Linked DNA regions of Cricetulus griseus. Each later gene encodes a partner of the first gene's protein in a complex. Links are inferred from orthologs where the notes say so. Each region holds a gene or a part of one and is shown in the gene's direction. Other genes may lie near its edges. The genes, in order: Hcrtr2 and Hcrt.

What was found.
Region 2: the proteins of Hcrtr2 (region 1) and Hcrt are in contact, whole or in part, in a cryo-EM structure (PDB 7L1U), measured with the Homo sapiens proteins. The link is inferred for Cricetulus griseus from reciprocal best matches to the Homo sapiens genes HCRTR2 and HCRT. Residues at the interface, in NP_001371201.1 of Homo sapiens: Thr111, Val114, Trp120, Pro131, Gln134, Thr135, Val138, Gln187, Val209, Cys210, Asp211, Phe227, Thr231, Ile320, Ser321, Asn324, Lys327, Arg328, Phe333, Ala334, Thr336, Arg339, Val342, Tyr343, Phe346, His350, Tyr354; in NP_001515.1 of Homo sapiens: Asn89, His90, Ala91, Ala92, Gly93, Ile94, Leu95, Thr96, Met97.

What each region holds. Positions count from the first base shown.
Region 1 is NC_048597.1:187,448,719-187,452,542, reverse strand, and holds part of Hcrtr2 (orexin receptor type 2), read left to right. Parts: intron 1-695; coding exon 696-874; intron 875-3,700; coding exon 3,701-3,824. UniProt on the Homo sapiens protein: Nonselective, high-affinity receptor for both orexin-A and orexin-B neuropeptides. Triggers an increase in cytoplasmic Ca(2+) levels in response to orexin-A binding.
Region 2 is NC_048600.1:113,801,438-113,804,478, reverse strand, and holds Hcrt (orexin), read left to right. Parts: upstream 1-1,447; coding exon 1,448-1,468; intron 1,469-2,111; coding exon 2,112-2,483; downstream 2,484-3,041. UniProt on the Homo sapiens protein: Neuropeptides that play a significant role in the regulation of food intake and sleep-wakefulness, possibly by coordinating the complex behavioral and physiologic responses of these complementary homeostatic functions.

The sequences.
Region 1 (3,824 bases):
ACTGTTTGGATGTTTGGCACAAGTAGGGGTTGAATAATAGCTCAATGGTAGAAAGTTGCTTTATTTGTTTGTTTGTTTTTCTCTCCCATAGTTAAAAATTTTCCTCTGTTGGGTGTCCACCAAGAAGACTTGTAGGAAGAAATGGGTCAAGGTCTTGTATGAGACAATCACAACTCTAATTCTCCTCACTTAATTCAGCCTCAGCAACTATTTCATCTCTCTTTTTTCTTTCATTCATTCTTTCTTTAAATTTTGGTAGGATTTCATTTTGTAGGGTTTCCTTCAGTGCCTTGATGACCCCAGAATTCACTATTTAAAACTAGGCTAATCTCAAACTCACAGAACTCTGCCTACCTCTGCCTCCTCCTTATCCCAGCAACTATTTCTTGATGTTTTTCTACATACTAAGTATTGAAACAATAGAAAGATCAATCAGAGACTGTCCTTCGACTTGACATGCAACCCAAAAACAGCACAGCCCTTATGAATAGGAAATACAGTGTCAGGTCAATGAGCTCATCTTAACCTTAGATGAAAATTCCCAGAGATTAATGGACTGAATGACGACAGTACAGCCTTAAACTCTCTCCTTTTCAGCCCTGTATATGGACTTTTTAAGTGTTAATTATCTTGAATTTTCTCATTGATACCTAGTGTCTTTATTCATTCCCCATCTCTTTTTCTTTCTCTATCAGTCTGCGTGGCAGTGTGGAAGAACCACCACATGAGGACAGTCACCAACTACTTCATAGTCAACCTTTCCCTGGCAGACGTGCTTGTGACCATCACCTGCCTTCCAGCCACCTTAGTTGTTGACATTACTGAGACCTGGTTCTTTGGACAGTCCCTCTGCAAGGTCATTCCTTATTTGCAGGTAATTCTTTTTTGGGCCCTTTGAGAAATTATTTTAAATGTTTTCTATTATAGTCATGACCATCTGGTAAACTAGTTAATTAGTTAAGAAATAAGTATAAATATTCAGAAAGTAAAACACTTAAAGAAGATAATACTTGAGATTTGCTGAATATACAAGTTCAGTTCTAGATAAAATCGAGGCAACAATGCTGTTAATATTTCACAGTCTTCATTACTAGATGAATCATTGAACAAAGTAATGATTTAGCCTCCCCTAGATCAAGTAGCCATGAGCATTTGTTTTTCAATAATCAAGAATATCAGGGTTTTTTGTCTAAATGGTTTCTTTTCATCCTAAGGAATTAAGAGTTATGTGGATCAAAGAGGGGCAACTTGGGACATCAGTTCCGGGTTTGGAATGTCTGTTCTTCCATCTGTAGATGGTACCCTATCAAGTGATGGTACCCTATGTATTCAAAGACTCTTGGCAACTCACTAAAAATGGTAATTTTAATAAGATCTACCTCATATATAGCTGTTATGACAGATTATTTAGATCATTTACAAGAGATTCTTGCTCTGTGATTACCTCATCATGAACTTAAAACAATGCATTAAGAGAGTCAATGACCAGTATCATCACTAGATGTCTCTTGTCAACAGTACCACTGAGACATCTAGTGAGTAAACAGCGAGTGCAGTCTTTCTGTATCTGTTGACAAATTAAAAAAAAGAACAAGTACTTTCAAAAGAATTATTTTCTGACTGTATTTATGAATGTAAAGTCTTTATTAAAATATTCCTGTTAGTGACCATGGCAACACAATCCTAAGAGCTGTGTTCACCTTAGGAAGTGGACAGTGAAGTAAAACACAGGCTGTGTTCCTCCTAGGAAGCATATAGTGAAAGAAAAGATCAATGGTCCCTCTGTATCATCCCACAGTCCCCATCTACCCTTGTCCTTAGTCCCTGCACCATTCTAGGTGGTGATCACAATGTTTCCCAGAAGAAATAATGGGCCTCACGTAAGAGAAATTTGGAAGAGGTCACAAAAATCCATTGCTAGAAACAGTTTTATTTATTCTTTAGAAAGAAAATGTTAGAGACTTCAATTCAGCAGCTCCTTAATGATCTCTTAGACATAATATGTTTTAAACAGCTGACATCATTTATAGTATATGTGGTGATGCCATAGAAATTATAAGCTACATACAGACATAATGTTTAATTATAAGGTTTGTGGGCTAGCATGCTGAGAGCCATCAGTGGATTACAAAATAAACTGTAATAAAATTTGGGGAAATATTAAAATGAATAAAAGGAAGAACATCCTCATCATAAACAATTAAGTAAGAATCTATGGTAGGGTTTATATACAGGTATGGTTGAATTTGCACACAGTAACTGAAAAAAATCCAAAAGCAGAAGAAAATTCTAACATCTGAATATTCTTCCTGTTATTTCCAGTAAATTGTATTTCTCTAAGCTCAGTTCCGCTAATTATCCAAGGGGATATGTCTACTCCCTTTGGTTTCAGGGTAGTTTCAACTGTTCAAATCCTTGGTTGCCTGACAACCTTCATGGTATCTATCTTATGAACCAGATGTTTTGATTGAGAGGATGACGGAGTGAGAAAGTATCACATGTGCCAGGAGTGTGCATTCTGGCTCTGATACAATCATAGCTTGCTGTGCCATGCACCTCCAAGTCTCCAGGGAGGCCAGAACAAAAGACAGGAAGCAGCATTAACAGCAAGGGATGCAGGCAGGGGTGGCTCCTAAAGTCACTGGCATTGGTCCTTCCCCCACTCCCACCCCAAAACAGTTTATAAGCATGTTCTAGAAGTCAAAGGACAAACAGAGATTCTGGATCCTGCATAAACAGTGTCCAGTTCATCCATCTCCACAAGAGAAAACCAATGTGTATTCACAGACTCCAAACAAACTGTACTTGTCCTGTAACTCCTTCAACACCTCTTGTTAGAAGCTTAGAAGCATGCCAGGGCTCTTCCTTTTGTGTAGAAGCCTTGAGTTAAGCAGTTTTGTATCTCAATTAACTCTAATTCTATAACCCCTAGCCCTGACCCTATTAAGGATAGCTCCATACATCGATTATGTAGGAATCAGCAGGGTTGAAACATTTATTTCTTTACATTTCCAAGCTAAAGAATCACTTACATGGTTATTCTCATAAAAGTCTATACTGAGAGGACATACATGTTTTTAAGACCAAGTTACTAATTGTCAGTGAGCAAACTATAGCACACATACTCATGTTCAGAAATTCTCTTTTAATATAGTCTAGACCTTTATTTGTGTGCAATGCATTGAAAATAAATTGGACCAAATTACCTATTGTTATTAGAATTTGAAAAAAGATACCCATGACTTATTTATGCTGATGAAATGCAACCAGTGAAAACCTACACGATAACTTAAAATACTCAGGTCATGCCATTCTTTTTTATTGAAAGAAAATACACCCATGTATAATTTCTTTCCCTCTGAGAATACTATTTACACTATCAGTAGAAAAGCTATAAAACAGAGTAAAGATAATAACTATTCACAAATTATAAGCTGAGCTTTTAATGTGAGAAAACTGAACAGTTTCAAAGTACCTATTTCACATCTGAGAGGAAATAAAAAAGTTTTCTGATGCATTTCTAGTTTTCATCATCCATTTTCCTAGCATGAAAGTCATTTGCATGAACACATAGAGTAGGCTACCCTGAATTCACTTTGCTCTGCTGTAACTACTTGGCTGATAAGGCAAATAAATGCTCTCACTTTATATTTCTGACACCCAGCAATTCTCTTGAACCATGTTCCTTTCTCCCCTCTAGACTGTGTCAGTGTCTGTGTCTGTTCTTACATTGAGCTGCATTGCCTTGGACCGATGGTATGCAATTTGTCACCCTTTGATGTTCAAGAGCACAGCCAAACGGGCTCGAAACAGTATCGTCATCA
Region 2 (3,041 bases), on another chromosome or scaffold:
GCAGATCTCTATGAGTTCGAGACCAGCCTGGTCTACAAGAGCTAGTTCCAGGACAGCCTGTCTCGAAACCCTGTCTCGAAAAAAAACCAAAAAAAAAAAAAAAAAAAAGCACTTACTACTTTTGCAGAAGTCACGGGCTTGGTACAAGCTCAAAACCATCCATAACTCCACTTCCAGGGAATCTACAACCTTTTTGTTTGTGTGTTTGTTTTTTTCTTTTTTGGTATTCACAGGTACCAGGCACACATGTGGTACATATCCATATATACAGGCTAAGAAAATGGGGTCACAGTCAGGCACTTAATCTCAGCACTGGGGAGGCAGAGGCAGGCAGATTTCTGAGTTAGAGACCAGCCTGGTTTATAGAGTGAGTTCCAGGACAGTCGGGGCTACACAGAGAAACCCCCTCTTAAAAAGCAGAGAGAGAGAGAGAGAGAGAGAGAGAGAGAGAGAGAGAGAGAGAGAGGGAAGGAAGGAAGGAAAGAAGAGAAAGAAAATAAGGTCACATTCTAAGCACACTGCTGTCACTGTGCTCATGCAGAACTGATCTATATCAAGAGATCCTTAAGGAGGCCTTGACAGAGAGCTTTCTTGGTCTGCAAGTGGCATGAGTCGGTTTCCCTTATCCAACATCCATCACCCTCACGCCCTGTTCCATGATGGTTCAATCCTGGAGATGGCAGAGTAAGACTTCAATATCTTCTTGTGTGGCCCAGGAGACATTGCTCTCCACCAGCTTCTAGAAACCAGGCTTGGCTGCTCTCTCATCCATCGCCCACAGTAAGTCTCCAAGACTTTCCATGGAGGAGTTTGGTGAAAGGGACAGAGGAAATGGAGAACTGTGGGGTGGGGAGGGCCGGTCAAGAGCTGTTTCCATGGAGGGAAAGGCCCTGGAAACTGATGGACCCCAGAGTCAGTGACAAGGAGCTGGGGGGGGGGGTGAATGCTACCCAGGTATCCTCCCTACTCCCCCACCCTCTACATACCGTGAACAATGAACAACGGTTCTCAGGCTGCCACTTTTTCTGCCCCTAATTAGTAACCACCCCCTCCCCCATTGTCTCTGGCCAGTGCCCCAGCCACTGCCTCTTTTGTGAACTCAAGATTCCTGGGTGCAAGGTAGCCTCATTAGTACCAGGAGACCGTCCCATCTCCAAGGAACAGGCAGACAGACAAGCGGGGGACCAAGGACAGGGCAGCCATTCTTTGGGTCCAACCTGGAGACGGCTCCACTGCAAGATGCTAATCTTAGACATGCCTTTGTCTGGTTTAAAGTGGACACAAATGCTCATGTCTCCCCTGCCCTCCCCAACACCTCAGAGCACTATAAACCCCTGGCCCCTGGAAGCAGGCCACAGTCGACACGGCATCAGTCTTCTTGGGTATTTGGACCTCTGCACTGAAGACATCATCTTTCCAGATTCTCCTGCCCTGAACTCCAGACACCATGAATCTTCTTTCTACTAAGGTAAAGAGCTAGGAATAGGGCTGAGCCTCATCAAAGCAGGCCACTGGAGTGCTTGCACTGAGGCAGGAGTCTGGGTGGGATCTTGGCAGGCAGGCAGCCTGCTTGGTTAACACTAGTCATGCCAGTTATTCTCTTAGAGGCTCATGTTTACAGAGCTTTTTCGCTTGTCAGTTTATGTCTTCCACTCAACAACATCAGGTAATAGGGATGGCTCAATGCCTACTTTGTAGTGAGGAAGGGGCTGCCCCAAGGGGATAAGAAACTGGTCCATAGCCACAGTGTTCAGTTTTCCCAAGCAAAGGCAAAGTCCTGCTGTGTGTGTAGAGGGAAGGACTACACTAAATAAACTCTTTGTTTCTGCTAAGCTTACATGTTTGGTTCAGACAGACTCAGACACACCTGTCTGCAGGTGGAGGAGTAAGCCTTTAAATATGTTTCCAAGGGACAAACTTATTCTACTGGTGAAAGTCTATGACGGTTTCCTAGAGGAGATGGCTAGTCCATGGATTGAAGAATGAGTTGACAAAGGAGCCAGATGCAGGAAACACAGTGACAGCCAGGCACAATCTCAGGCAAGGAGAGGTTCGGAGCTGACTGAGTAAGGACTGAAACCCATTCGCGCCTTGTCTCTTGTCCCCTTTAGGTTCCCTGGGCCGCCGTGACGCTGCTATTGCTACTACTGCTGCCGCCAGCGCTGCTGTCGCTTGGGGTGGACGCCCAGCCTCTACCCGACTGCTGTCGCCAGAAGACCTGCTCTTGCCGCCTCTACGAACTGTTGCACGGCGCTGGCAACCATGCCGCGGGCATCCTGACTCTGGGAAAGCGGCGGCCTGGACCCCCAGGCCTTCAGGGCCGGCTGCAGCGCCTTCTGCAGGCCAACGGCAACCACGCTGCGGGCATCCTGACCATGGGCCGTCGCGCAGGCGCAGAGCTAGAGCCACATCCCTGCCCTGGTCGCCGCTGTCTGTCCGCAACCGCCACTGCTTTAGCGCCCCGGGGCGGGTCCGGAGTCTGAACCTGTATTCAGTCTGTGTCCTGGTCCTATCTTCTCCCCTCTGCTCGCTAGTGTTAGTCTCTAGGAAAACGGCAATAAAGACGAGTCTCTGTTGGTGTGGCTATTCTTTGTTCCCGTGTGTCAAGTTCAGGCCTCCAGGGGGCGGGGAGGGGCGGGAAAGCATCTTGAGAACTGTGAAGGCTCTAGGGCTCCAGAAGGAGCTTGTGTTTTTTGTCCTAAATACTTGGTCGGGAAGAACCCAGTGCAAGGAGCCTTGAAGAGTCTTGAGGTGCAAGCCTGGGGTGGGGGAGTGGAAGTGAGGTACCAATGTGTCCCGCGTTGTTCTACTATCTACTTTATTGGTTTATTTCTTTTAAAAACGGGTCTTGGCCAGCCAGTGGTGGCCCACGCCTTTAATCCCAGCAGAAGCAGACTCTGTGAGTTCGAAACCAGCCTGATCTACAGAGCTAGTGCCAGGATAGGCTCCAAAGCTATACAGAGAAACCCTGTCTCGAAAAACAAAAACACACAACAAAACAAAAAACCAAACCTGGGTCTTACGTATTCCAGGTTGTCCTC